Linked DNA regions of Sus scrofa. The protein of the gene in region 1 interacts with the protein of each later gene in a biochemical or structural test. Links are inferred from orthologs where the notes say so. Each region holds a gene or a part of one and is shown in the gene's direction. Other genes may lie near its edges. The genes, in order: SNTA1, KCNA5, SCN4A, GUCY1A2, SLC16A7, ABCC4 and MAPK12.

The links.
Region 2: the proteins of SNTA1 (region 1) and KCNA5 interact in a test that uses a peptide from one of them, tested with the Homo sapiens proteins (2 studies listed by BioGRID and IntAct). The link is inferred for Sus scrofa from reciprocal best matches to the Homo sapiens genes SNTA1 and KCNA5.
Region 3: the proteins of SNTA1 (region 1) and SCN4A interact in a test that uses a peptide from one of them, tested with the Homo sapiens proteins (2 studies listed by BioGRID and IntAct). The link is inferred for Sus scrofa from reciprocal best matches to the Homo sapiens genes SNTA1 and SCN4A.
Region 4: the proteins of SNTA1 (region 1) and GUCY1A2 interact in a test that uses a peptide from one of them, tested with the Homo sapiens proteins (3 studies listed by BioGRID and IntAct, with this or other methods). The link is inferred for Sus scrofa from reciprocal best matches to the Homo sapiens genes SNTA1 and GUCY1A2.
Region 5: the proteins of SNTA1 (region 1) and SLC16A7 interact in a test that uses a peptide from one of them, tested with the Homo sapiens proteins (3 studies listed by BioGRID and IntAct, with this or other methods). The link is inferred for Sus scrofa from reciprocal best matches to the Homo sapiens genes SNTA1 and SLC16A7.
Region 6: the proteins of SNTA1 (region 1) and ABCC4 form a complex in vitro, tested with the Homo sapiens proteins (2 studies listed by BioGRID and IntAct, with this or other methods). The link is inferred for Sus scrofa from reciprocal best matches to the Homo sapiens genes SNTA1 and ABCC4.
Region 7: of the proteins of SNTA1 (region 1) and MAPK12, one has a biochemical effect on the other in vitro, tested with the Homo sapiens proteins (2 studies listed by BioGRID and IntAct, with this or other methods). The link is inferred for Sus scrofa from reciprocal best matches to the Homo sapiens genes SNTA1 and MAPK12.

What each region holds. Positions count from the first base shown.
Region 1 is NC_010459.5:36,925,733-36,929,232, reverse strand, and holds part of SNTA1 (alpha-1-syntrophin), read left to right. Parts: intron 1-1,762; coding exon 1,763-1,967; intron 1,968-3,500. UniProt on the Homo sapiens protein: Adapter protein that binds to and probably organizes the subcellular localization of a variety of membrane proteins. May link various receptors to the actin cytoskeleton and the extracellular matrix via the dystrophin glycoprotein complex.
Region 2 is NC_010447.5:65,439,408-65,443,643, reverse strand, and holds the start of KCNA5 (potassium voltage-gated channel subfamily A member 5), read left to right. Parts: upstream 1-1,436; 5' UTR 1,437-1,708; coding exon 1,709-3,511; 3' UTR 3,512-4,236. UniProt on the Homo sapiens protein: Voltage-gated potassium channel that mediates transmembrane potassium transport in excitable membranes. Forms tetrameric potassium-selective channels through which potassium ions pass in accordance with their electrochemical gradient.
Region 3 is NC_010454.4:14,999,986-15,004,155, forward strand, and holds the start of SCN4A (sodium channel protein type 4 subunit alpha), read left to right. Parts: upstream 1-1,370; 5' UTR 1,371-1,658; intron 1,659-2,414; exon of another isoform or gene 2,415-4,170. UniProt on the Homo sapiens protein: Pore-forming subunit of Nav1.4, a voltage-gated sodium (Nav) channel that directly mediates the depolarizing phase of action potentials in excitable membranes.
Region 4 is NC_010451.4:62,100,259-62,104,380, forward strand, and holds the start of GUCY1A2 (guanylate cyclase soluble subunit alpha-2), read left to right. Parts: upstream 1-1,322; 5' UTR 1,323-1,742; coding exon 1,743-2,054; intron 2,055-4,122. UniProt on the Homo sapiens protein: Has guanylyl cyclase on binding to the beta-1 subunit. Isoform 2 acts as a negative regulator of guanylyl cyclase activity as it forms non-functional heterodimers with the beta subunits.
Region 5 is NC_010447.5:24,711,588-24,715,808, forward strand, and holds the start of SLC16A7 (monocarboxylate transporter 2), read left to right. Parts: upstream 1-1,421; 5' UTR 1,422-1,753; exon of another isoform or gene 1,754-1,758; intron 1,759-4,221. UniProt on the Homo sapiens protein: Proton-coupled monocarboxylate symporter. Catalyzes the rapid transport across the plasma membrane of monocarboxylates such as L-lactate, pyruvate and ketone bodies, acetoacetate, beta-hydroxybutyrate and acetate.
Region 6 is NC_010453.5:64,307,032-64,311,172, reverse strand, and holds the start of ABCC4 (multidrug resistance-associated protein 4), read left to right. Parts: upstream 1-1,341; 5' UTR 1,342-1,900; coding exon 1,901-1,974; intron 1,975-4,141. UniProt on the Homo sapiens protein: ATP-dependent transporter of the ATP-binding cassette (ABC) family that actively extrudes physiological compounds and xenobiotics from cells.
Region 7 is NC_010447.5:428,361-432,434, forward strand, and holds the start of MAPK12 (mitogen-activated protein kinase 12), read left to right. Parts: upstream 1-1,274; 5' UTR 1,275-1,486; coding exon 1,487-1,611; intron 1,612-1,678; coding exon 1,679-1,808; intron 1,809-3,997; coding exon 3,998-4,056; intron 4,057-4,074. UniProt on the Homo sapiens protein: Serine/threonine kinase which acts as an essential component of the MAP kinase signal transduction pathway.

The sequences.
Region 1 (3,500 bases):
TACCCAGCCCCCCCCCCTCCAAAAAAGCAAAGATTGGCTTGAGTCTGCAGCAGCCAACCTGTGCTCATCAGGGCAGGGCGGAGAGGCCTACCCAGGATCCAATGTCATTGAGCCACTGAACCAATCCTGAAATTGCCTTCCTCTAGACTTCTTGTTACATGAAATCATAAAAATCTTTGTTTTTCTTTTTCTTTTTTTTGGCTGCCCTCAAGCGTATGAGCTTGCTGGCTCACACGCTATGAATCAGATCCGAGCTGCTGTGACCTACAGCTGCAGCAATGCCGGATCCTTAACCCACTGTGCCAGGCCAGGGATCAAACCTGTGTTCCTGTGCTCCGGAGGCACTGCTGACTTGTGCCACAGTAGGAACTCCAAAAATCATAAATATCTTTATTGCTTATGGCACTGTTATCATATATTCCATTACTTGCAGCCAAGCTCAACTAATTGATAGAGCAAGAATGACCAAATGTTTGTTTTATTATCAATTGGCTTTAATTGATTAATAATGGCTGCCATAGAATACTGTGGTTGATTCATGATGTCTATCTTGAACAAGGGGTAAAGAAGTGGTAGCATAAGTGTCATATGTTTACCACCCCAGTCATATCTGAAGCCAGTTCAATACCTGGCACATAGTAGGTGCTCAAGAAAATTGACTTTTGTCTCTGAACCTCTACTCCCACCAAGCTCTTCTCAGATCAACCCTGTTATCATGTTGCTTTTCTCTTCTAGCTGCCGTTGTTAGTGAGATCTTCCTTTTCTAGAAAGGCGTGGAATCTAGCCTCCAGTCAAGGCTCTTGGTTGTAAATATCATAACTCCTGTTAGGATGGTATCCTGACTTTCTAAAGAAGAAGTGTGAGAAAGCAGAACTTTAGCAGATGTCTGGCAGAGTTTTCCCTCTGCCTCTCAACATGCATCTCCACTAAATTTCTCTTCTGACATATCAACTCTCTCCTCTTCTCTGTTCTTACAGCAGAAGGTGGTTGCCCCCAGAGTATTCAGGTTTTTTTCAAGACACCAATTAAGGATCCCTCAACAGTCTCAATCTGGGTAGCCTAAGGTGTTAGGTGTTGAACCCTGATCCAGCTAGCATAGCCAGGAGGGCAGGATCACATGTCTGATAATGACTTTATAGGTCAGTTGCGCAGAGGAAATGAATAAAATATTCGGCGCCTCATGTGTACTAGCTATTGAGCACCTTTTTTTTCATTCTTTCTTCCTTCCTCCCTTCCTTCCTTCTTCCCTCCCCCCTTTCTTCCTTCTTTCCTTCCTTCTTTTCTTTCTCTCTCTCTTGCTTGCTTGCTTGCTTGCTGCACACGCAGCATGTGGAGGTTCCCAGGGTAGGAGTTGAATTGGAGCTGCAGCTGCCAGCCTATGCCACAGCCATAGCAACATCAGATCCGAACCATGTCTGCAGCCTACACCACAGCTCGTGGCAACACCGGATCCTTAACCCACTGAATAAGGCCAGGGATCGAACCTGAGTCCTCATGGATACTAGTTGGGTTCATTACTGCTGAGCTACAATGGGAACTCTGATTGAGGAGATTTCAAGTGTTCAGTAACTACATGTGACTAGTGGCATGCATCCAGAATTTTTTTGGCATGCATCCATGCTGCCCTGTCAGAGATTTTGGCATCGAGGAGGATAGTGATAGTGGACATAAATTAAACTCTTAATGAATTAGTGATAATTGTGATGTGTGCTATATGGGAGCCCATGTCATAGTGGTAACTGCTGACCTGTCCCCTAACCAGTCAAGTACATGAAGGAGGTCTCACCATATTTCAAGAACTCTGCCAGTGGGACCTCAGTTGGCTGGGACTCGCCTCCTGCCTCACCCCTACAGCGGCAGCCTTCCTCCCCTGGCCCCCTACCCCGGGACCTGAGTGATGCCAAACACGTGTCCTTGAAGATGGCATATGTCTCAAGGAGGTGCACCCCTACTGACCTGGAGACCAGGTAAGCCTCCCATAGGGGCAACTCAGAGAGACATGACCTCATGTTAGTTTGGTGGGGCCAAAGGAAAATTTCCCCTGTGTTGCAAATGACAAGCACCATGCCAGAATGTAGTAGGTGCTTAAGAAATGTTTGTTGAGTGGCTGTAAGAGTGAAGTTACGGGGATGATGGTGGGCTTTGCTTATCTCTTCTTCCTCTGCGAAGTTCATGTTTGAGAAGAAACTTGGTTTGTGGAGGAGCCCTGGATTCCAGTCTTGGTTCTCCTTGAATCAGTCTCCTTTCCTACTGTACTGACCTTTAGATGAGTCCTCTTTGTGAAATGAGAATACTGGAGGGAGTTCCCATTGTGGCTCAGCAGGTTACGAACTCAACTGGTATTCATGAGGATTTGGGTTTGATCCCTGGCCTCACATCAGTGGGTTAGGGATCTGGCATTGCTGGGAGCTGTGGTGTGGGTTGCAGACATGGCTCAGATCCCTTGTTTCCGTGGCTGTGGTGTAGGCTGGCATTGATAGCTCCAATTCAACCCCTAGCCTGGGAACTTCTATATCCACAAGTGTAGCCCTAAAAAGAGAAAAAAAAAATATTGGTCTCAGTGATCCCCTCAAGTCTCGAGGTTCTGAGATGCAACATTCACTTCAGGGCCAAGGCAGGTTACCATCTTTCACATCTGAACAGCCCTGATGATAAGATTCACTGCTGATAAGATTGATAATCAATATTACGAGTATTTATCATGCACAATTTAACTCATAGCAAGCCTATGAGCAAAGTCCTTTTATTTTATCCCCATTTTATAGATGAGGACAGAGAGAGGAAGTAACCTGCCCAAGATCACACAACCAGGAAGGGATGGAACTTGTCTCATTCCAGGTAGCCCTCTCTACCTCAGAAGCTTCAGGTGCCTGAGTGATGGTGGTGGTTGAATGGAGTTCAGTTGATCAAAAGGGGTGTGCACTATTGGGTGTGCAGTCCATATATATGGTGTGGGCATAAATGGCTTGTGCTGTAGGTTCTAGTTACAGCTGAGGTTCAGTTGGGCAAATGCTCAGTATTGGCCTAGAGGGCTAATTAATGTTCAGCATCCAAATCTCCTGGCCCTATTTGATGCCTTAGCTGCAGCCTGCCTCCATGAGGCAAGATCTGGTGATTCACAGGTCGCTTATAAGTGTTTCACCGAAGGGGCCTTTTTTAAAAATGACTGCACCTGTGGCATATGGCAGTTCCCGGGCTGGGGATTGAATCTGAGCCTCGGCTGCAACCTATACCACAGCTCCCAGCTCCTTAACCCACTGCTAACCCACTGCCTGGGCCAGGGATTGAACCTGCACCTCTGCAGTGACCTAAGGTGCTGCAGTCGAATCTTTTTTTTTGCCATTTCTTGGGCCGTTCCTGTGGCATATGGAGGTTCCCAGGCTAGGGGTCGAATCAGAGCTGTAGCCACCGGCCGATGCCAGAGCCACAGCAACGCAGGATCCGAGCCACGTCTGCAACCTAAACCACAGCTCACAGCAACGCCGGATCCTTAACCCACT
Region 2 (4,236 bases), on another chromosome or scaffold:
AAGACAGAGACTTGCTGGTAATGTAAAACCAAAAACACGTCTGGAAGCTGTGCCAGGATGGGCCAGACTTGCCTTGAAGCATATTTCTCTCTGGACGGATGCTCCTCGCTAAAACCCAGCAGGGCTAGGGCGAGCCGGATAGCCTGGCTCTCTAACCCAGAAGCACTCAGCTGTCCTCTTAGCCACCCTCCTGCCTCCCGCAGGAGGAACGAAAACTGTCAGCCCAGATGTTGGGGAGCAGGAACTCTTTTACCCTTATATCTGAAAGGGGGTGACTCATTTCTAGAGAGGAGCACAGGGACAGGAACAGGGTCCTGAACTCTGCTTGCTTGGGTTTAAATCCCAGCTTTTACCGTGTTCTAACTGTGTGACTTTAGGCAAGTTAGTCCATCTCTCTGTGTCTCATTTTCCTTGTCTCTAAAAAGTGGAGATAATAACATTGCTGAGAAAATGGGTTGCCAAGGGAATAGGCCAGTCAATATTTGTAAAGTGCTGAAAATGGACCTGACACAACAAAAGAGCCAAGTATGTATGGATTGTTATTCTACTGCTGAGAATTCTCCAGCCCCGGGCACTCCACAAGCTCCGGGGCTCCCTCTCCTGAAGAGCCCCCACCCCAACTCCCTACACAGATGTGCTTTTGGTTCCGGCTCCCAGCTTCACCAGGCAGAAACCACTCTCACCAGCTTCTCTCTCTCCCTCCTCCCCTTCCCTGCTCATGGTTTCTGCTAATGGCTTTGTGGGGAGAGCAGCGAGGTTGTGAGCGTCAGGGCAGCGAATCTCCCAGACCCAGCTGGCTGCCTAGGGCTGCTGGGTGGCATCTGCCCTCTGACCACCGCTGTCTGCACTGGGAATGGGGGCTTTACTAAGCGGCAGGACACACTAAATTTTCCCTCAGTTACCTTTTGGTACCAATGTATGCAGGGAGATGGGAAAAGAGATGCTTCACCTTCAATCTGGAGATACAGACATATATATATACATTTTTTTTTCCCAAGGTCCATAACTATCCTGCCCCCTCCTGTTTGTAATTCTGCCCAAAGAAGAGAGACCCTTTATTCCTCCAAGGGAGAAACGTAAAAAGCACTGCCTTCTCTCATACTCCCTCTCATCTCAAAATCATCCCTCCAAGGGCAATTCATTTCCCCCTGAGCCCATCGGCGCTCAGCGGGCTTCCCAGGTGAACTGAAATCCAGAGCTATTCTCATCTGGTTGCCCTTGGAGTTTCAGCGCTCTCGGTACAACCTGTTCCTCCATCCTCCCCACTCCCTCTCTCCCTCCCTTCCTTCCTCCCACCGCCGGCGGAGCCCCGCTCAGCCCCTCCCTCCTCGCTCGGGCCCCAGCTGCGCCCTCCGGGGAGACTCCCGCTGCCTCTGAGCCCGGAGGGGAGGCGGGGGAAGGAGAGGACGACAGGGGGCGGGGAGCCGCGCGGGGCGGAGGCCGCGCCGGGCGGCTGGAGGTTGCATCTGCTGGAAGGCGGCTTTTGGCTGCTTGGTAACGGGCTGCCAGAACCCAGAGAGGCAGAGGGCAGGGCAGCGGCTTCTTGACGTCAGGACCGAGCGAGGGGACCCGGCCAGCCACTCCAGCCCGCCCCACAGCCGTGCCGGCGGCCAGCAGAAGAGGCGTCAGGCGCGGGTCGCCCAGCAGGGTGTGAGGGGGGCGCGGGAGTCAGTCCGCAGGGGCGCAGCATGCCCCCCGCTCCCGGACCATGGAGATCGCCCTGGTGCCCCTGGAGAATGGCGGTGCCATGATCGTCAAGGAAGGAGGGGAGGCCGGCACCGCAGGGGGAGAGCTCCGCTGCCCCCCGACGGCTGCGCTCGGAGATGGACCCAAGGAGCGGGAGCCAAGGGGCCGCGGAGCAGAGAGGCGCGCGGATCCGGGAGGCCGGCCGGTGCCGCCGCCGCCCCAGGAGCTGCCGCAGTCGAGGTGGCTGCCTCCGGAGGAAGAGGAGGGAGATGGCGACCCCGCCCTGGGCGTGGCGGAGGACCAGGTGCTGGGCGCGGGCTCCCTCCATCACCAGCGCGTCCTCATCAATATCTCGGGGCTGCGCTTTGAGACGCAGCTAGGCACCCTGGCGCAATTCCCCAACACGCTCCTGGGGGACCCCGCCAAGCGCCTGCGCTACTTCGACCCCCTGAGGAACGAGTACTTCTTCGACCGCAACCGGCCCAGCTTCGATGGCATCCTCTACTACTACCAGTCCGGGGGCCGGCTGCGGAGGCCGGTCAACGTCTCCCTGGACGTGTTCGCGGATGAGATCCGCTTCTACCAGCTGGGGGACGAGGCCATGGAGCGCTTCCGGGAGGACGAGGGCTTCATCAAGGAGGAGGAGAAGCCCCTGCCCCGCAACGAGTTCCAGCGCCAGGTGTGGCTGATCTTCGAGTACCCGGAGAGCTCGGGCTCCGCGAGGGCCATCGCCATCGTCTCAGTCCTTGTCATCCTCATCTCCATCATCACCTTCTGCTTGGAGACCCTGCCTGAGTTCAGGGATGAACGCGAGCTGCTGCGCCATCCCCCGGTGCACCACCAGCCCCCTGGACCCGCCCCAGGGGCCAATGGCAGCGGGGCAGCGGCGGCGCCGCCTCCCTCAGGTCCCACAGTGGCGCCTCTCCTGCCCAGGACCCTGGCGGACCCCTTCTTCATCGTGGAGACCACGTGTGTCGTCTGGTTCACCTTCGAGCTTCTGGTGCGCTTCTTCGCCTGTCCCAGCAAGGCTGAGTTTTCCCGGAACATCATGAACATCATCGACGTGGTGGCCATCTTCCCCTACTTCATCACCCTGGGCACCGAGCTGGTGGAACAGCAGCCAGGGGGTGGGGGAGGGGGCGGCCAGAACGGGCAGCAGGCCATGTCGCTGGCCATCCTCCGAGTGATCCGCCTGGTCCGCGTGTTCCGCATCTTCAAGCTCTCCCGCCACTCCAAGGGGCTGCAGATCCTGGGCAAGACCCTGCAGGCCTCCATGCGGGAGCTGGGCCTGCTCATCTTCTTCCTCTTCATCGGCGTCATCCTCTTCTCCAGCGCCGTCTACTTCGCCGAGGCCGACAACCAAGAGACCCACTTCTCCAGCATCCCGGATGGCTTCTGGTGGGCCGTGGTTACCATGACCACGGTGGGCTATGGGGACATGAGGCCCGTCACCGTGGGGGGCAAGATCGTGGGCTCTCTGTGTGCCATCGCTGGGGTCCTCACCATCGCCCTGCCTGTACCCGTCATTGTCTCCAACTTCAACTACTTCTACCACAGGGAGACGGACCACGAGGAGCAGGCAGCCCTTAAGGAAGAGCAGGGCAGCCAGAGCCAGGGGACAGGACTGGCCAGCGGTGGCCAGCGGAAGGCCAGCTGGAGCAAGGGGTCCCTCTGCAAGGCTGTGGGGGCCCTGGATAATGCAGATGGATCCCGGAGGGGCAGTTGCCCCTTAGAGAAGTGTAACCTCAAGGCCAAGAGCAATGTGGACTTGCGGAGATCTCTGTATGCCCTCTGCCTGGATAGCAGCCGGGAAACAGATTTGTAAGGGGGATGCAGGTGGATAGTTGGCAGAGAGCTGGGGACAGCGGGGGGCCTCCTGACCTTGGGGATCTACTTCATGGCGAAGAGTATTTCTAGCCCACCCTGTAACCTAGGTCCGCCCCTTCTTCTTTCACTGCTCCCCTCCTGCGTCTCCTTGATCCCCTAGTTTTTCTTTCCTCTTCTTTCCATGACACCCAGGGTCACCTATTTTTAAAAAGTACCACATTCCATGACGCAGGAGCTGTTGAAATGGTGAGCACTGTGAGATGGATGTATTTGTAGCCAGTTTCCTAGACCCAGCAGAGGGATAACCCAAACAAAAATGGCTTTAAATAGCCCAATCCCCAGAGAATTGGTAATCTCCCCCCATCCCTGTGTTCCAAATTTGCTTTACATATAATTATATTTGTGTACATGAGAAAATATTATTTTTATGGCTGGCGAGTGGATTTTTGTACTGTAGTTCAGATGGAGAGATTTTGGATATATTTTCAAGACATACATTGTATTTATGAAAGAGGAGGTTATGGCAACATTCTCCTGTGATATTTCTATTACAGTCCGAGACCCTGGTCTGGCTGTTCTGGTTCCTGTTATCTGCAAGCCTCTCTCTTTTCTGAGTTGTGATTTCGGTGCTTTGTGTCTAGGGCAGAGAATGCTCTGGAAGAAAGCAAGTCTAACTTTTTCTGTGCGCCTTAACCAGTTCTTGTAACTTTCTTCAAAAAGCAT
Region 3 (4,170 bases), on another chromosome or scaffold:
GGTCTCAGATGCAGCTCAGATCTGGTGTTGCTCTGGCTGTGGCATAGGCTGGCAGCTGCAGCTCCGATTAGACCCCTGGCCTGGGAACTTCCATATGCTGCAGGTGTGGCCCTAAAAAGAAAAAGAAAAAAAAGAATCCCACAGAGAAAACACCAAAGCTCACACCTTGGTCTAGAGAAGACACCCCGGAGGGTGTGAGTGACTCATTGGGAGATGTGGGAAGTCCAGGTACAGCAGGAACTTCTCAGACCACAGCCAGCCCCCAAGAAGCGGCTCCACAGTGCTGAAGCTGGATCCACAGAGAGCTGCTGGCAGGAGAGGTGCCATCAGGCTGCACCCGCCCCTGGGACTAAGGATGATCACTCCTTAGGCCCTTCTCAAAGCCCACCTGACCTGGGCTCAGCTCACCTGGAGCTCTGGCTGCTAGAAAAGATGGTGGCAGTGACGGATATGGGAGACTCGGGGGAGCTTTGGGGGACCATTTCTCTGGATTCACCCAGGGATTATCTTGTCTGCCTGGGCAGGTGCTGGTCAGCAAACTGAGATGGGTCATTTCTCAACACCTCCACTAGGGGTCACCACAGCCCGGGAGTGGAAGATGGGGGAGGGGGAGCTAAACCAGCCTCATCTCTCCCCGCACTGCCTCCCCTCCCTAACCTCTGGGGAAGAGACTCTAGCCAGTGGGGTCCCCGTGAGGGGCATGGTGGTGGAGAAATGCCCCCTCAAGACTGCTGTGTGTTCCACCTAAACAGCTGTGTGTGTAAGAGGGAGACGTGTGTGTGGTATACAGATGGGCACATACTTGATAAAAATCTAGTGACCGTAGAAACATAGACGGCCCTGCGCACATGTAAACGGGAGCATGTTACATGGGGCAGACAGCTGCATGGATGTAACGTGAGCGACATGCACGAATGCGGGGACACGACTGTGGGTGGTGTGTACACGGAGGACACTTGATACAGTTTAGCCTCTGGGACACCCGAATATGTGCTCGTCTGCGAAGGAGAGTGTGCATGGCTCTATGTGTGTAATAATACACACATGTGCGCCAGCCCGATGGGAGCGTGGGAGCGTGTCTGTATGTGTGAGCCGTAGACGTGTGAGAATGGGTATGAAGCACAGTGGAAGCGTTTGTGTGACTGTAGGAAGGGTGGTTTATATGTATGGCTGAGCATGTGTGAGTGTGTGTGTGGGGGTGCACAGACGTGAGAGTGTACAGAGCGTGCAAATGTGAGCCAGCGCGGCCCCGGAAGGGCTTCTGGGAATGAGCGTGAAAGGAGATTCATGTGTGAGAATGAGCCTGCGTTGGTTCATCCAGGGAGGGAGAGAACCACGTGTGTGGGCTCAGACGCGGGCCCCAGTGCGTGTGCGTGTGCGTGGGCGAGCGTGGCGGGCGTGTCACGCTCCGGGTCAGCGGCCCCCAGCCCCGTGGGTCCCAGGCCAGCCCAGCACAGCCCTGGGGCGGGAAGGGAGGCGAGGCTCCCACCTGAAGATTGGCCCAGTCCTCAGGTTTCACTCATGACCCTGTGACATCAGCGGCAGCAGCTGTCCCCGCCGGCCCGGCCCCCCGGCCAAGTCCCCCAGAGTTCCAGCCCCAGCCCGAGGTGGGCACGACGCTCCGGGCTCAGCAGCAAGCACTCCGCTCCCGTCCAACTGTAAGTACCGTGCCCCTCGGCACCCTGCCCCCGGGCCGGGCACCCCGAGGGCAGGCCACCCGAGGGGCCAGGAGCCCTGGCCCCAAGCCCAGCCTGGCTCCGACGAAGTCACGCTTCGCTCCGGGCACCGCTGTCCTCCTGCCCACACCGGCCCTGCTCTGCGGTGGCCCCTGCCCAACTCCTTGTGCCGTGACCCTCGGTCCCCAGGCTCGCTTCTCTCTGCCCTGTCACCTGCTCCCTGTGCCCCTGCCTGGCTGGCCGTCACTGCCCTTAGCAAGGGCCCTCGCCCTGGTCACAAATGGCCCAGGGGCTGAGGCTTGGTTCCGGACAGCCACAGGGTGACCCAAGGGACAGAGACCAGGCCGAGTTTCTTCAGGAGAGGAGGGTGGAGGGGCCAAAACAGTGACTCGGCTCAGCCTGTTTGCAGTGGCCCAGAAGGCAGGGGTGTGGGGGGAGGAGAGCGGGAGGCCGGGCAGGGGGTGGCGGGCGGCTCCTTTGCTCTCTGCTGAAAGGAATCTGCGAGATGCCAGCAGAGGACACATCTCAGGCTGCGTGGCGGCTGGCTCTGCCCACCGCCCCTGCCTCGGCCCAGTTGGGCTCCTTTCCTGGGAGAAATCAAGGAGGGGGACCAGAGGAGAGCCCCGTATAGCGGAACGGGGTGTGGGGACAGAGCGCCAGACAGTCCACCGTGAGGGGAACAGGGGGTCACAGCCCTGAGGGGACTCTGGGGGACTCAGGACGAGACTCAGGGGCAGGAGGCGGGGCCAGGGGTGCGGTGCCAAAGCACAGCGTAGCCCCCCTCCCCCTCCCTGCTGGCAGCGCTGGGCACCCAGGACACGGGGAGGGAGGGAGGGCGGGCCGTGGCTGGTGAAATGGTCTGAGCAGAGATGGGAGAAGGTGTTTTGGAGGTGCATGGGGCTAAAGGGAGGGGTGCTTTGAGGGCAGGGGTGTTTGTGTGCACGTGCGCACACACGCGTGTGTTGGAGGCATTTGTTCCAAAAACTGGGGAGTCCCATCTAGAGGGCCCTGGGGGTGGGGGGTGCTTGAGGCTTTCTAAGAATGCATAGTGGCGGGGGTGATTAAGTACAGGGTCCGGCTGCCCCTTCCCCCTGGTCAGGGCAGGGGCCCAGGTCATGATGGAGGCTCGTGGCACCCCACTGTCTAGAGGTGGTCCTCCAGTTGGAGACCAGACATGTCCCCCTCCCACCCACACCAGCCCCCTCAGGCGCCTGCCCAGACATCAGTCACCCCAGAGCTCGGGGAGCTTAGAGCCCAAAGGAGCCTTGAAGGCCATTCAATTCAGCCCCTAAGGAAGAGCCAGCTTGGGGAGGGGAGCAAGAGGCCCGTGTGGGGCGTCTGGCTAGTCTGGAGAGGGGAACGGGCTGCCAGAGAAGTGGAACAGAGCCACAGACGAGCGTTGTTGTCATTCATCTGTGACCAGGGCTGTGACTGCTCCCCTCCTCCCAGGCCCCGAGCTAAGGAGACCCCAGGCGTGGCAGTGGCTGGACACAGGCATGCAGTGCTGGGGTTGCAGGCAGAGAGGGCTGCTTCTTCCAGGACCCTGCAGATTCCTCTGGGGTCATCCCCAGTGCCCTGCTGGCGGCCTCACTCTGTGTGGCAGTCGTGTGGATGGCTGTGGCCCTTGTTCTAGTAGTTGGAGCCAAGTCACCTGGGCAGTTGGAGGCAGGGGCCCAGACGGAACCCAAGGACCCACCCCCATTCCAGCGCAGCACAGGCGTCTCTCAGGGGATTGGCTGGGAGTTTAGGAGGGTTGGGAGAGGTGCCTAAGGGTCCTTCCCGGGTGGTCCCATCCCCGCCTGGCCCTGCTTGTCATTTCTGGTTAGGGACCTGCATAGGGTGGGGGCTCAGGGTCCCCTCTAGCTCTAGGCTGGCCTGAGTGTCAAGGTCTGCCTGGCCGGCTTCCCAGGCCAGGATTTCTGGGCCCCGACCCCAGGCCCCAGCCCAGGGGAAGCCCTGAGGTGGATTCCGGAGGCACAGAATTCCTGGCTGATGTTGGGGTGGTTCTGACAAAGTGCCTGCCTTTGGGGGCAACTCCTGCCACCAGAAGAGAGAAGAGTGTAGATAATGGCAAGGAGAAGAGGGTGGGGTTCAGAGCAGGCTGGGGCGGGGGGCAGGGGCAGGCAGAGCCAGAGAGGAGAGAAGAGATGGGCCCTCCCAGAGAGGCGCGGGGAGGCTCCCTCCAGAAGGGAAACGAAAAATCTGAGCCAGGAGGCTTCAGAGAGCAGGTACAGAGGGGAGGGGACAGAGGAGAGTGGCACAGTGCAGGCTACACAAACTTTCTGTGACTCCTCTTACAGGGAAGGCTCAGGTTCAGAGGGTCCTGTCACTTCCCCAGGGCACACAGCTCGTGAGTGGCCGGGGCTCTGTCCACAGCGGCGAAGGCCCCCGCTCCTTGGGGAGGAACTGACCCTGGTGCAGGGCTGGGTCATGGGGCAGAGCTCACCCCTGAGACCCAGGGGGCAGCGGGGGCCCGTGGGCAGGCCTAGGGGTC
Region 4 (4,122 bases), on another chromosome or scaffold:
GGGGAAGGGAAACGTGAGGAGTATGCTAGTCAGCTTTGCTGCAGGGCGAAGTATAGCCAGGGACCCTACTTTTGGGACACTCATATTTGCCCCTTCTCAATGTCAGAACAACACTTTCATGGGGCTAAAGCAAGTGCAATGGGGACGGGCACTAACAGCGGCTGTTGCTTTGCCAAGAGGCAAGCTTTGGAATGAAGCAGCTCTATCGAAAACTTGCGAGGCTGTTCTTGGGCTTTGAAAAGCCTTTTCCCCACGCGCCCCAGACCCCCACCACGCCCTTAGCTTTCCAAGCACATTTGTAGCCAAGTGCAAACAGATACCATATTTGGCTCAAATATCTGGGAGAATGAAAGGCCTGAGATCACTCCTGGGTCCTAGGTAGTTGAGTCTGCAGAGGAACTGTCCCCAGGTCTGCAAGTCTGCAAAGGCTGCTGCAGGTGGCAAGCGGAGCTGTCCAGCATCAGTGCAGAGCCGGCAGGAGCCAGGAGCCCACGCGCCCAGCCTTGCTGATGCTCAGCAACAGGGCTCTCGCCCGAGCAGACGCTGTCCTTATTCATTGCCTCCCGGCTCTGGGCTTGCTGCGAGCCCACGCAGCCTCGACCGAGGCGGAGAACACTAGTCCTCACCAGCTGCTACAGCAGGAAGGGTGCCAACATGTTGCCCCTTCCCTTCCTTTGTAAGCGAGTTCTCTGGAATGGACAGGCTGGGCCGCTTGGCCTTCCTCCTTCTCCTCAGAACTTCCTAAATAAACTCGGAGGGAAAGGACAATTACGGACCACACCCCCCCACTTCATGCTTTCAGACTTTCCCGATGTGGCTTCAGAGGAAGATCTTCCTTTCCGCCTCCCTCCCCCCTCTCTGCTCCCTTCCAGTGCCCACCGGTGCCCTACTGTTCCCCAGCAGCTGCTCCCGCAGACCATGGATAGGGCATTTGGAGTTGGGGCCCTTTGGTCAGATCCAAACCCCCTCGGAGGAGGAGGGGACGGTAGGAGTGGGGATGGCGCTCAGAGGACGACGACGAGGTGTCCTTGTTGCTCCTGAAACGTGGCGACAGGCAAGGCGGAGACTCCCAATGAGTATGATGGCGACACGTGATGCCGGCAGAGAGAGAGAGAGAGAGAGAGAGAGAGAGAGAGAGAGAGAGAGAGCGAGAGAGCGAGAGGGACGGAGAGAGAGAGACGGAGAGGGAGACGGAAAGGGAGGTGGGGAGAGAGCGAGCGAGAGCGTGAGCGAGAGAGCCTGGGGGGAAGGGGGGGTTAAAGGGAGTAGGAAGGAGGCGGGCGGCAAGGGGAGAGAGGCGGGAGGAGAGGGGCGGGAGCAGCGTAAGAAAGGGGGCGAGATAGGCGCGCAGGCGGCAGAAGCCTTTGCCTCCGCGACCGCGCGGGCCGCAGCCTCCGCGCCCCGCCGCCCGCGGTCACATACTCGGAGGCTTCCCGCGGGCGGGAGAGAGTCCACAGCGATGCGCCCAGGCCGGCGGTGAGGCGGCGGCGCGGGAGCAGCAGCAGCAGCAGCGGCGGTGACCGCGGCCGAACCCAGACCCCAAGGTGCCGCGGCGCCCCAAGTTCCCGCCATGAACAGTCGGCTCTGGATGCTCCACGGCTCTGGGAACTCCCGCCCGGCGGAGCACGACCACAACGCCTCGCGGCCCCGACACTCCTAACGCCGCCCCTCGCGGGTCCCGCGGCCGCCGCCTCCCGCGTCCCCGCCGCCTCCTTTTCGGCCGGCGCAGCGCCACCAGCAGCATGTCTCGAAGGAAGATTTCGTCCGAGTCCTTCAGCTCCCTGGGCTCTGACTACCTGGAGACCAGCCCGGAAGAGGAGGGGGAGTGCCCCTTGTCTAGGCTCTGCTGGAACGGCAGCCGCAGCCCGCCAGGGCCTCTGGAGCCCAGCGCGGCGGCTGCCGCCGCCCCGGCCCCGGCATCCTCCACCATTGCCGCTGCCGCTGCCGCTGCCACCGCCGCCAGCTCCACGGCAGGGGCTAGGAGAACGCAGCGCCGGAGGCGGGTCAACCTGGACTCGCTGGGTGAGAGCATCAGCCGCCTGACGGCGCCCTCGGTGAGCAGGGAGTGGAAGGAGGGCCGCCCTTCGGAAGAGAGGACTGGGGTAGGGAAAGTTGGCGCCAGGCAAGCCCGGCAGTGTGCGCAGAGCCCCACCGCTGGAGGGCGGCCCGGGCTCTCACCGCCAGGCCTAGGGTCCCCAAGGACCCCTGGGGAAACTGGACCTTGGGATCTGATGGAAGGGGCGGTGGAGCACGGGAAAGGAGTAAAGCTTCACTCTTTCGGGGTCTCCTGATTCGGGGGTCTGTCTGCCCACTTCCAGCCTTGTACCCTCCTTCCTCGCGGTCACCCTGATGGCCCTAGTGCTTCTTTACACCCACCTGTTTTCTTTTCCCCAAACTTTCCCAGGCACTGTGTCCCGCAGTTCCCATTTCCATGTCTTTCATCTCTGTTCTCCAGTATCCCAAAGGAACCCCTACTCCTTTCCAGGAAACTCTTCCTCTCTTTTTTCCCACACTCTCTTGGTCTTAACGTGACCTTCTCTGACATCTTTGAATTCTGCAGGCTAACTACATTCTATGTTGCATTCCTTTTCTTAAATCTTCGGGAACTGGTTGTCAGATTTTTTTTCTTTTTTTTATTAGTTGCCTTCTGATGAAGAAACCTTTAATGTCCTGTTTTCTTACCACCTCATATCCTTTTTTTTTCTTCTTCTTTTTTTTTTTTTTTTTTTTTTTTTTGGTCACTGGGCATTTATTGGCTCAAACTTCTTCTCTGGGTAAACCTGGTGTCTGGTTTCCTAAACCTCTCTGGTATTTCTTGCACCTCTACCTCATCCTTCACTCTCTTCCCTCTGGATTCTTTAGTGCTTTCAACCTCTTTTTTTCTTTTTTATGGTTTTCTTATATTAGGCCTTTCATAAATATCTGTTGAATGAATAAATGCCTTCCTAGCCCTCTCTCCACGTGTGCTCATTTGGGGATACCTTTATGAGCAGTTCCAGGTGTACTCCAGACTCCCCCAGGTTCTAGCCATCTTTCCATAGCACTTCTGCCTTATTCCAGCTCCAGCATTTCGGCTACCCTTGATCTCTACTCTTAGCACGAATGTCAGACCTTTCTCTGACTGTATGAGGTGTGTTTTGAAGGAATCCACTCCATTGTGACCGGATCCTAAGGGAATTCAGTATCAAACCACTGTCTACCATTTGTTCTCATCTTGATTGGCTACAAGAACTTCAACTCCTGACAGCACTTTTCTACCCATCTCTGAGACATTCACTTCTTTAAAGTTTCTAAAATGAATCTGCACATTGAGCTTGTTTGCCTTTTTGAGTCTCCCCTTTGAAAGTACTCTTGCGATTGATGGTAGGAACGACCTGAGAAAGAATGAGATCCATAGGGACAGGGAACTGGTTCTAGGCAGTCTTGTGGCCATTGCGTAAATGGAGTGTGATCTTTTCTTTTAGCAGTGAAACTGCTCTTTGGTCATCTTCCTTTTTTTGTGCATTTTCCCTTCAATTTACCTTTTGCCATTTCTTCTATCGATAACCTAGGAAACAAAACTCAAAATGGGCTGGCTACTGTTTGCTATTCTTAATGCAGCTATTTCCCAGGAAGCATAATCTTAGGAACTATTTGAAGTTGCAAATTGTTGAACATAATCCTTTATGAAAGGAGTCCAGTAATCCTTGTGCATCTGTGGTTTTGTGTCAGTACCTAAAGCAACATTTGTACAATATACTAATTCTTAAGTATAACAGATTCATATCCAATATGATGATTTTACTAAAGATAATTATTAGATTTGGGGGAATTGTTTCTATAATTCTTAATTTTCTTTTTGCCTAAAAATCATAATTTACAAATTTCTAAAAAGTTATGGCAGTGCCTCTGGTAATGCCAGTTTAACATGTCTATTCTCAGCAACTTATGTGAAAGGTAGATAAAATGAACTGAACTCAAGTATTTACTGCCAAAATAAGAGGAAGGAAATAAGTTCTGATTTTTAACTTTTATTAATGACTCTGGTTCTTTGATGGATAAAAAGCATTTAACTAGACAATAGTGTTCAGGATGAGAAATTTGAAAATAATTGTGATGATAAAAGTATACATCAGCTACATG
Region 5 (4,221 bases), on another chromosome or scaffold:
AAGTCTAAAGTCCTATCTGGAAGTTTTGCCTTAGTTCCTTAGTTTCCAAACTACCTGTCTCTCTGCAATACTGTTTTCCAAACTTTTTGAAGTTACTAATATTGGCCATCATTTTATTCATATCATATTATCAACTTCACATATATCATCTCACCTAAATCTTCTATCAGTAATAAAAAGTTGATTTTATTTCTATTTTGTAACTGCAGAAACTAAAATTCAAGTTTTGTCCAAGCCTACAGACTAGCTTTGGCAGAAGTAAGGCAATGTGAATTTAGCCAAATGACTTAAATTGTTTCCAAATTTGTAAAATGTGAATAATGTAATAGAGTGATTGTATTCATTGAGATAATCCATATAAAAAGAACAGTGACCGACAATGATAACTATTTAATAAATAATTATTTTATTATAACTACCATCTTGTTTTTTTGATTCTTTGTCCTTCAGGCTTCCAAATTCCAGTTATTTTAACTAAATTATCTTGGCTTTTTAGAAATGATCTAATTTCTAGAATAAACAAGGAAAACGTCTAGGAAGTTATATTTTTATCTTAGATTAATGTAACATTTTATCTTTTTCACTTTTTTGGAGCAGGAATTGGGGAGAGGCAGTTAAATTGACAGAAAAACTGGACTAGGAATGCTCAAAACCAAGCCCACGTTTATTCTTCTGGGTTGTTTGTTTCTAAGTAGTACTTTACTTCAACCTTAAAAATATTAAAGGAACCCGATGTAAATGTTCATTTCCAGCCCTTCCTCTTTCTAACTTTCCCGGAAATATGTTGGAGACACGGAGTAAAAATAAAGGTAGAAGAAACCAAACCAAGACTGGAATTACCATTATCACTAGCACCACGTATTGTCGAATAACTAAATCCTATTTTGAAGAATTAAATAATTTGAATCATTTACAAATGACTTTCATTTCTTTCCTACGTGCAAGGTCTTCTGAGTGCTACTCCTTCACGCACGGGGTAAACCGTATTTTCCCCCTCAGAGTGATACCTGGCTGGCGAGTCTAATCTCCAACACTGCCATCCCCTCTCCCCTCGCGCCCGCCAAAAGATTTCAACTGAAAAAACGGTCCAACAACTTGTCTCCAAGCTCACAAGGAGACTTCTCTCCCTGCTTTCGGCCAAGTTCTTCTCGTTTCGCACTGCCTGCCTCACCTACAGGTTGCACCACTCCCCGGGGTATCTGAACAGAGCTACCACACACCTGGCTCTTAGATTAGGCTCTTAGGTTAGGCGCCAAAGCACTTGGGGGCGAATGAAGCGTGCGCCGACCGATTTGGACCTACAGTTCTCTTTACCAGACTTGTTTACCCTCTGGGTCAAAACTAAAATCTGAAGTGGAGCGCCTGGAGCCACAGAGTTAAGTGTCTACGGCGTTGACAGTCATTTGGAGCATGCTCAGTCCGTCTGGAGTCGCCCGGCGGCGGCTGGCCCCCACCCGAGGACCCGGGGCTCCCGCAACGCCCCGGGTGCTCACCCCGCCCTCCTCGGTGCCCCCATCTCCGCTTCCCCCCAGCGCGCAGCGCATGGCCCCGGGCACCCACAAGGGCACTCAGTCGCACCTCCCCCGCCTCCTCTCCCCGCCTCCTCCTCCACCTCCTCGGGCTGCGGCGAGGGAGGACTCGTCCAGGGACCTAAATAAATAAATAATTCCATTCACCCGGTGACCGCAAGGCGAATCTGCTGTGGCTGGCGGGAAACGGATCTCTGCAGCGCCCAGCCTGTGCTGGAGACCAGGTAAAGTAAGTTACACCCCGGGAGGAAAGGAGGAGAGGAGGGGGCGCCGGCAGAGAGGAAGGGGAACGCGCATCTGTTACCAGAGCTACCCGGGGAACCACGCGCGTGTGTAAAAGTAATGGCTAGCTTGTGACACGCGCACCAAAGCCGAGCTTGCCCGCGAGCCCTTATATAGACAAAAATTCCCGAAGCGGCCCCAGGAGGAGAGTTCGCGTCACCCCGGCGCGCCGACAGCAGCGGGGCAGTTGCCGGGGCGCGGTGGGGCGCGGGCTTGGAGCGCGCGCGCGCGTCGGGGAGGGGGGCCCGAGGGACTCGGGCGGGGAGTGCGGGGAGTGCGGGGTGTGCCCGCGTGCTTCCGGGCGGGAGGTGCCCAAGCTGCGGGGCTTTTGCTCCGAGGCTCAGGCAGCGCAGCGCTCCTCCCTCTCTGTCTTTGGCACACGGGTCTCCCGGGCAGGTTCCCGCCTGGCGTATTCCCGGGTGCTCTTCTCGTCAGCATCCAGTCTCCGGCCCACGAGCACCCCAGGGTGGCCTCGTGCGGCAGAAGTTGGGGATCTGGGGGTGGTGAGAGTGTGTGTAGGGAACGTCTTTTTTAGCAGATTTTCGGGGCTTGGAGAGGCTGAGAGGAGGGGATGAATTACCAAGGGGGTCGATTTTTTTCTATTTCTGTCCCCAGGTAGCGTGGCGGGAGCGAGGCAGGTGGAAATGTGTGTGCAGACGAGGCCCGCCCCGGGGATAGAAAAGGAACTTGACCCGGGCAGAGGAGGGCTTGTGTCTCCTGGGCTCATGCTGGGTTTCCTGCCCGGGCCGCTGCGCCACGTTGGGGGTGCCAGGCCTGGCCAGGTAGCGCGGGAGGCTCACTGTTCACGTGGGAACTGCCTCCTCTTTCGGCGGATTCTGTTTGGTAGCTGCTTTCTCCCCCCCATTTTCTCCTTTACTTCCGTGAAAAGGATTGCAGACTGCTTTCGCAAGGGCAGTCATGCCCAAAGCTACTTTACTGGTGGGGCTAGGGAGGGAATTTTGTGGATTTTGTCAGGGAAATTAACATCCGCGCGCGCACACACACACACACACACACGCACACGCACACGAGTGATTTCTCTACAAATACCTGTGCCTTTCCTTCCTGGAGCAGTACTGAATGGGCTGGTTTGCATGAAGGCAGGCTGGTGGTAGTAGGAAAGCCAATTTTTTTTTTTTTTTTTTTTTTTGGCTTTTTGCCATTTTCTTGGGCCGCTCTCTTGGCATATGGAGATTCCCAGGCTAGGGGTCGAATAAGAGCTGTAGCCACCGGCCTACGCCAGAGCCACAGCAACGCGGGATCCGAGCCGCGTCTGCAAGCTACACCACAGCTCAGGGCAACACCGGATCCTTAACCCACTGAGCAAAGGGCAGGGATCGAACCCGCAACCTCATGGTTCCTAGTCAGATTCGTCAACCACTGCACCACGACGCAAACTCCGGAAAGCTAATATTTTATCTTTCTCTTTTCTCTGGTCTAATAAGGGAGGCAGCAGAGGAATAAAACCTCTGGGCAGAGATGAGGGTGATGTGAAAAAGTCTGGGCAAAAGCAAACAGTGGGCACTAGATGCCCTTTCCTGGAACCCCATGCCTTATGGCTAAATCCAAACTGGGAACTCAGGAGGGCCACAAACTTTCAGCAGACACGTTGACTTGAATGTGCAGTGTCATTGGAACCACAAGAACTAAGTGTATTTGGGGGAGTGTGGCTGAAAAATTTGAGTTGGGTGGTGGCTGCAGAGAATAGATGAGGGCTGAACAAGCTGGCTCTTATTTGGCCCTGGTGGGGCAATGTAGCTCCACTTTATGCTTCTGAGTGCATTGCATTTAAAGCAGTCTAAATCAGCAGGGGACTGAATGATTTCAGTGAAAGGGAAAGATTACCTTAAGCAACTCAGTGTGTTGTGTAACAACTCATAAAGTCAGAAACTAGTTTTTGCAAAATTCCCATCAATAGTTAGCCGTTACGTACTGGTTTTCACCCCAGGGATTGTTTTAATAATGTAAGTGATCTGAAATTTTAACACTTGTTTCCCAATGCCCCAGTTAGTGCCTGCATCTTCCTGTAAATGCTCAGTTCATTTCTAAACATGCATTTACTCTTTATAACTGGCCTTGAGCCCTCTTGAAGGGAAAGAAGGAGGAAAGACCTACCAAAATACCCTTTAGCCAGAGTTATGTTCTTGGATCATGGATCTAAAGTAAAAGAAGTCTGCATTTGCTTTTCATCCTACGTTCATTCGCCAGTTTTTGAGACATTCACATGGAAAAAACGTAATTAAATTTAGAGATGGACCTAGATTTCAAGCTCAGTTCTGCACTTTTGTAAGGTTAAATAATTATTTAAGAGTCTGTCCTCAGTTTTGTTTATTCATAAAATAGGACTCATGGTACCTCTCCTGAAGTACTATTGTGAGGAAGAAAGTGTATGGAAAACCCAGCTACAAAA
Region 6 (4,141 bases), on another chromosome or scaffold:
AAAAAAAAGCCATTATTATTATTATTTTATTATTTTTCCAGTGGTGAAAAAATTTTTTTATTTTTTTATTTTTTATTTTTTTTATTTTCCCACTGTACAGCAAGGGGGTCAGGTTATCCTTACATGTATACATTGCAATTACAGTTTTTCCCCCACCCTTTCTTCTGTTGCAACATAAGTATCTAGACATAGTTCTCGATGAAAAAAGCCATTATTAATAACACTATTTTAAGAGTTTCCACATGTCTCTGTGGGTTAAGGATCCTGACAACGTCAGTGCTGTGGATCAGGTCACTGTTACGGTGCAGGTTCGGTCCCCAACTGGAAATTTCTACATGCTACCGGGTACAGCAAAAAAAGTAATAACAGTATTTTAGTCAAGGTACATTGAAATACTCAAAAAGAATAAAAAAGATGTTATCATTGTAAACACAAAGAACTTTGAGCTTTCTTCATTTAGAGTGGAAGGGAAGAGAAGATACCCAAGATTTGGTTCATTCAGACCTGCAGTCATTCATTCATCCAAACAGCATATTCTAGGCACTTTTCATGCACACTGTCCACCTACCGGTTGAGACCATGCTGGACTTTCACTTGGTCCAAATCAGAATTCATTATTTACTGATTTTATTTTATTTTATGTTATTTTTATTTGGCCAGCCCGAAGCATATGGAGTTCCTGGGCCAGGGGTCAGATCTGAGCTGCAGCTGGGTGGCCAGATCCATTAACCCACTGTGCCAGGGGAGGGATGAACCCTGTGTCCACATGCCACAGAGACATCTCCCATACCCTTGTGCCACAGCAGGAACTCCTGTTTATTGATTTTCAAGCCTTGGACAAGTTCTGTCCTTGAGCCTTATCTTTCTCATCTGTAAAACAGGGATAGTAATACCTTCTTTATTAGGGCATCGTTAGAGTGAAAAGTGCAGTCAGGTCCCCAGAAGTGCCTATAACCGGTGTTTTATAAAATGTACCACTGTTACTCCACTAGGTTTTGAGCACATGATGAAAGAAATCATAAGGCAGTCTCTCGCCATATTCCCCTTTCCCAATCTAAAAGGGCAGCAAAAAGCTTACAGAGGTCCCCCCCGCACCATGCAGTAATGTGAGATCTCAAAAGCCCTTTGGAAGCGTGCATTCGTCTTCCAAAATTTTTTGAGTTCTTCTAATTCTCTGTTACATATCTTTAGGTCTTGCAGCGTTACAAACACATCTGTGCTAAATCCAGCCGTTGTCCCAGGTCAAATGTTTAGCCGCAGGATGGAGAACCTCCCATAGCACCCTAGTTTGGTCGTGAGGAGGGCAGGGTGCCCAGAGGGCGGACTGCTAATGCCTACAGCCGGCCTTCTCTGGGTCTTCGGAAAGCTGCAGCCGAGGGGGCGTTTCTGAACTGCAGGGGCGGGCAAATACCACGCCTCTCCCTCTCCACCTCTTCTGGGTGGGTGCCTGGGCTGGGAGCAAGAACTGAGGCTGAGCTTGCAGCCAGGTGCGAGCACGTGGGTGTCTCGGCTCGGAGACAGACTGTGTCGCGTGGTAGGTCTACCCGCTTCCATCCAACGGCACCTTCGGCCTCGCCTCGCCCCTTCACCAAGCTGCGGACGGCGGCAGCCGAGTCACCCCTTTGTCTCGCCGCTCGCACGCGTCCGCTGCACCCGGCTCCCGGCAGATCCTGCAGCGGCGCGTAGCTGGCGGCCCCGAGGCGGACCCGGGAGGCGGCGCGGCCTGGGAGGCGGGCCGCAGGCGTTCCACTCCCGGAAGCGAGTGATTCTTGGGCTCCTGCAGGCGGACCCCCGGGCCAGCCAGAGGTCCAGCATCTCCGCCAACCCTTCCGGGAGCAGCGTGAGCGGCACCGCCGCGGGAGCTGTGCGACCCCGGCCCGCACCCGTCTTGGCCGTCAGGATGCTGCCGGTGTACCCGGAGGTGAAGCCCAACCCGCTTCGGGACGCGAACGTCTGCTCGCGCGTGTTGTTCTGGTGAGCGCCCCGCCTGAGCTGTGACACCGCCGCCGCCGCGCCGGCGCCTTTCGGGAACAGAGGGTTGGGGCGAGCAAGAGCTTCCCGCCGGTGCCCAGGCCGCCCGGCTTCCCGCCGACAATGGGGCGGCCCCACGCGGGTCGCGTGGTCCCCACCTGAGCCTGGGCGCGCGGGGGCGGAGGAGCAGGGCGGGGGAGGAGGCCCTGGTGGCGGGGCCGCCGGGTGTCCCTGCCTTTCCTCTCGCTGTTTCGCCAGCCCGTAGGAGGAGGAGCAGGGGGAGCAGCTGGAGCAGGAGGGGGAGAGGCGGAGAACCTGGGCTGCCCAGTGGGAATCTACACCCAGCAGGAGAACGCGCTGCGCCCCCTCTCCACTCCCTACTCTGTGTAGCCGGCTTCCCCAGTATTGCTAAGGAGTTCGAAGTTCTGAGCTAAAGCTGCACCCTTTCCCCCCTAAGCAAGCATCTTATGAACAGCTTCCTTTATCTATTTAGTGCCCTGGACCAGTTGCCGTCTTCCAATGTCCCCACCTTTTTCTGTATTCTTAGATGACAGCTGCGTACCAAACTGCACTGAGCTCCCTCTGTCTGTGTTTTTGTGACTGTGTCTCGCTCCCTCCCTCTCCGTGTGCGTCTCTCACTATCTTGGTACCTAGTTGTGGCAAATTACATGTGGGTGAAAAAACTACACTATTTTTTAATTACTGGGGCACACTGCTCTTGGGCACGTTTTGCTTTGGCCCCGGAGGCACAGCCAGCACTGGAGAATGAACTTGGCTAGCCTCTTTCCTATTGCAAATATTTCTACTTCCCCTTTTGAGGACCACTCTGGGGATGGGGTCCCTGAGGCCTGTGGGGTCTTATCCAGGTCTCTAGCCTTCAGAGAAGCAGTGCATGGTCTGACAGTGCTGATGGTCCGGCCCAGGAATCATTTGGTCCTAAATCCACTGAAGCGTCCTGAGCTGGGAGCAAACCCTGATGAAAAACAGCTTACAGAGGTGAAGTTCTTTTCCTTTTTTTTAGGGTCGCACCTGCGGCACATGGAGGTTCCCAGGCTAGGGGTCCAGTAGAAGCTGTAGCCTCAGGCCTATGCCAGAGCCACAGCAATTCGGGATCTGAGCTGTTTCTTCGACCTACACCACAGCTCACCGCAATGCCAGATCCGTAACCCACTGAGCAAGGCCAGGGATTGAACCAGCAACCTCTTGGATGTTAATCGCTGAGCCGCTACTGAACTCTGGTGAAGCTTTAACTAAAAGTTTTTATCTAGTAGCTAGGACTACTTAACTAGGTGGGCCTGAACCTTTGGCCTTTAATCACACTTGGGTCATTATGAGATCTTTTGTTTCTGGCCCCTAATCCATACTCTGATAATTTCCTTTTTAATGGGCCGGCCTAGCAGAGGGTCCCCAAGGGTTGGAAGCTTGTTTTGCTGGAGGTGTATTCAGTGTGTGTAGCTACATCTCTTGGCCATTTGGTGGCCCTTGAGTAAAGTAGAGCCTAGGCTTATGGGTGTGGTTACTGTAACTTCTGGCAGGGCAAGGAATTCTCAGAGCATCTTCTGTTTGTGGATTTTCAAAATGTATGTGTCTGTAAATGGGATAGGTGAGGACTTGTCTGATTTTGTTAGGCACCTGTGTCCAGTTTTCCTACTGCAGCAGCAGGAGCAATTTTTTTTTTAAGGGCCGCATTCTCAGCCTATGGAGGTTCCCAGACTAGGGGGCTGACTTGCAGCTGCAGCTGCCAGCCTACACCGCAGCCACAGCAACATGGGATCCAAGCTGTGTCAGCGACCTACATACACCACAGCCACAGCAACCCCAGATCCGAGCCGCATCTGCGACCTACACCACAGCTCCTGGCCATGCTAGATCCTTAACCCACTGAGCAAGGCCAGGGATCAAGCCCAGGTCCTCATGGATACTAGTCGGTTTCGCTACCACTGAGCTGCAACAGGAACTCCCCAAGGATTTATTTCTGTTAGCCAAGTACATTTGATGCTATTTTGGTTGTTTTTCAGTCTTTTCCCTAGAAATCTTTATGCACTCTTCTGCTCACACATCGTTTCTATAAAACTAAATAGTTTTGAATCTTGAATCCTTAATTTTTTATGGTTAGTGTTTATTTATGTTTAAAACCGGGTATTTAATGGTAATTTATGCAATCTTTCAT
Region 7 (4,074 bases), on another chromosome or scaffold:
GGGCCAGGGAGATGGCGGGCTGCTTCAGCCCACAGGCACACCCCCAGGGGGAATCAGGCAGGGTATCCGCAGGACAGGGACAGCCTATGTCTCTGCCTAGGCCTTGGGGTGCAGACCACTGGGGAGGTGGGCCTCCAGAGGCCTGGGTGGTGCGGGTACTGGGCTTCTGGTCCTGGAAAACCCCTGGAGACCAGGCTGGGTCCAGTCCTGGGCGGGGGGCCGGGGGCGAACAGGAGCAGAACTGGGACATGCCTCACCGGGGAGTCTGGTCTGACGCAGAAACCTCTGGACTGCTGGGGGCTTCCTGGAGGAGGCAGGCAGAGTGCCACAGGCAGCCCAGGGCATGAAGCACCTGGGGAGAGGCGGTGGTGGCTCCAGTGACCCCAGGCTGCTCCCACTGACCAGCCGGCCACTCCAGAGCGCCCAGATGCCCTCGGCAGCCCAGGTGTAAAGCTGCTCTGGCCAGGCCTGAGCTGCTCAGCTGCTGATTCATGGTGCAGGGCACAGAGGGCGGGGCAGGGGGCCCTGGGGATCTTCTTACCCCACTCTCTCTCCCGCCTGGGTCACTGGGCTAGGGCAGGACAAGGAAAGGACTGGGGGCTCTGTCCTCCAGGAGCAGCGGGTCAAGGAGGGGCCAAACCCATGAAATGATGAAGCCCCCACCTGGGGCGGGGCACTGAGAGGCCCCTTCACCCCTGGGGTCAGGCACACCTTCCTGGAGAGAGAGAGGAGGCTCCCGCTGGCCTTTGAACAAACCAGAGGGCCTAGGCTGGGCAGGGGCAGGACAGGCAGAGGGACTTGCAACTGTGTGACTTGGGAGATGGAACCGACTTTTTCCTAGGGAAAGGGGGAAGGGGGAAGGCAGGTGCTGGGGACGGCGGAGCTGGGGCCGACCAGGCGGCGCGCTGGGGGGTGGACAGTGATCGGGGATGGGCTGGGCTGGAGGTTGCCCAGCTCCGGCGGGCCGCCCGCCGTGGGCCAGCGCCCCGGGGCGGTGCTTGCAGGCGGGAGACGCGGCCCCTGTTAAGATGCCTCCTCTCTGGAGGTCTGCGGGCTTCATCGCAAGGGCAGGGGCGGGCGCCGGGGGCTGGGCCGAGCCGGGGCGGCGGGCGCCGCTCCCCGTCCCCTCCGTCCCCTCCCCCGGCTCCGGCTCCGGCCTCCGGCGGGGCGGGCGGGCGGGCGGGCGGCCGCCTCAGGTTTCCGGAGGGGCCGGAGGGCGGGCGCGGCGTCACGTGCGCGCGGCCCCGGGGCCGGTTGGTGCGCCGGCCGGGGAGGGGCCGCGCTGTGCCCGGGCCGGGGTCGGCGGCTCCGGAGAGCTCGGAGGCAAGAGCCGGGAGCGGGGGAGCCCCGGCGGCGACGGGCGGCGCGGCGCGGCGCCGGCTCTGCCCCGCGCCGCGGCCAGGGGCGCGCGCCAGGGTGCCCCGCGGAACCCGGGCCCCGGGTCCTCGGGGCGCGGGGTCTGCGGCGGGGCGGTGCCCGGCCAGCCATGAGCGCCCCGGCGGCCGCCCGCAAGGGCTTTTACCGCCAGGAGGTGACCAAGACGGCCTGGGAGGTGCGCGTCGTGTACCAGGACCTGCAGCCCGTGGGCTCGGGCGCCTACGGCGCCGTGTGGTGAGCGCAGGCCGGGCGGGGGCCGGGCGGCGAGGCCGGCCCTCCCGCTAAGCGGTGCGTCCCGCAGCTCGGCGGTGGACACCCGCACCGGGGCCAAGGTGGCCATCAAGAAGCTGTACCGGCCCTTCCAGTCCGAGCTGTTCGCCAAGCGCGCCTACCGCGAGCTGCGCCTGCTCAAGCACATGCGCCACGACAACGTGAGTCGCGCGGTCGCCTCGGCTCCCCGCCCCCCCCCCCCGCCCCCGCGCCCGCGCCCGCCTGGCCCGCAGCCCCTCGGCGGCGGCGAGGCCCTGGAGAGGACTCCGGTCTGGTCTTTGGCTCCTTCCCGAGGCCACATCCGGCTCGTCCGCCCGGCCCAGGCCCCGGTCAGGGGACGACGTCCTCTTGCCCGGGGGCTCACTCCAGGTCCCGCCTCCAAGCAGGATCCCCGAGGCGAGAGGCGACCTCAGGTGGGGGGCGAGTCTCTGGAAGGGGCACCGTGTCTCTTCTGGGCACCCCTTCCTGAACCCGCTGTGCTCCCTCTACCTCCTGAGCCCCAGCCCTGGGAGCCCCGAGGGGGCCTGTGTGGGCCTTGGGGAGCTGGTGTGCGAAGGACACGGGGCACACGCCTTCCTCACGTCCAGCGGCGTGCATTTCACAGCCCTTGGGGTAGGGGCTGGACCCAGCCTCCGGCAGGGAAAAGTCTGTTGCGTCCGGAACTGCCTCAAGCCTCTCCTGGGAACGCTGCTGGCTGCTAAGAGCCCTTCCCTCTGCTGGGGGTGCTCCTGCTGTTTGCCTGTGGCCTTGAGCTCTGTCCCCTCCCACACAAGCCACCCCTGCCCAGTCTGAGGGCTGGTGATCTGGGCGCCCAGACCCCGACTGATCGTGGTGGTCTGGCACCTCCTGGCTCATCAGAACCACGAGAATGAGCCTCCGTGTCCACCAGGAAACTCACCCCTTGGCTCCTGACCAACGCCCACCTCTCAGCCCCTCGCAGAGAGGGTCCTTCTTTCTCTCAGACTCCTCTACCCTTGACCCTTCCCGGGTGGCACCCATTCACCAGCCCAGCCGGGCCTTTACTGCCTCTGGGTCACATCTGGTCACACTCAGGCTTGTCCTCTCCCAGAGTCCTCACCCGGCTTCTCCCCACCACCTGCTGCTCCAGTGCCGTCTCCAGGCCTTCTGTCCAGTTACCTCCCGCCCCGATCTGTACCAGTGGGTCCTTCTCCCAGGGGAGCCCCTGACCCACAGCGCGGAGCGCTGCAACCTGCAGGGCTGTTCCAAGAGCTTCCTAAACCCAGTTCCTAGGAGGAGCTAGGCTCGGTGAGGCCGAGTGGCACACCCGCGTGAGCTCCTCCGTCCTCCCCCCCCCCCCGCCCCGCCCCGCCCCGCCCCAGGCCCCGTCTGCACCGCAGAGGCCTAGAGATCTCCATCAACCTGATGGATACCACCTGCCCCCCCCCGCCATTCCTGCCAAAGCCTCCTCCCAGGGCCCTCGGCTCACCTGCCTCCAGGCCCCTCTGGATGTGCCACTCTGTCCCCTCCACCCCGCCCACATCTCTGGCTCTGGTGTCCGCTTTGGTCATCTAGCTGTCCCTCCACCCCCATCCACCTTCACCTCACTCTGGTTTGTCCCCATATAGCAGCCAGGGGACACATTCAGCATCTCACCGTCCTCAGTGGCTCTTAGGATCAAAGCAAACCTTCCCTGGTGTTCGAGGGCCTGCTCGGGTTCCCTTCGGCTTCTCCTTGGCTACTCCTTGGCCTGGTCCTTGGCCACCTGGCCTCTCTCCCGTGTTCCTCAAACGCACCAAGCAATTTCCCTCCTGCCCCGGCCATCATTTGCCTGGCCTCTGCCAGGTGTCCCCCTGCCAGCACATCCACCTGCTCCTCCAGCCACTCTGATTCTCAGCCTCCCAGGGTCCCTGGAGGCCTTGTCACTGGAACCCCAGGTAGCAGTTGTCACATTACCTGTCTGCTGTCCATCACCCCTGGTCAGAGGGCTGTCGATGTGGCCACAGTGTTGCCTGCCTGGGCCTCTGGCAGAGGCGCAGCCTCTCGAAGGAACTCTCCCCTGAGAGGCTGTCCCCACAGTGGTCCTGGGTCTTCAGTGGGGACAGCAAGAGGGGGAGGAAGGGCCATGGGGCTGGCGCTCCTTGGATGGCCTGGGAGCTGACCCAGACTTGGGGCCGCCCCTCCCCTGGAGGATCCTGGCTGTCACCATCCCAAAATAGCCTTTGTCCATGGGCGTGTGTGCCAGGGCTGGGTTGAGCTGCTGGTGGGCAAGAGCCAGGCCCTGAATGGTGGGGGGAGACCAGGCCAGTTGCAGGAGGCTTTCCTGCCCAGAGCAGGCTGTGTCTGAGCCCCCGTGTCCCCGGCCAACCTGGTGCTCTGGCCTCCTCCCCAGGTGATTGGACTGCTGGACGTGTTCACGCCTGATGAGACCCTGGATGATTTTACAGACTTGTGAGTGCCGCCTGGGGC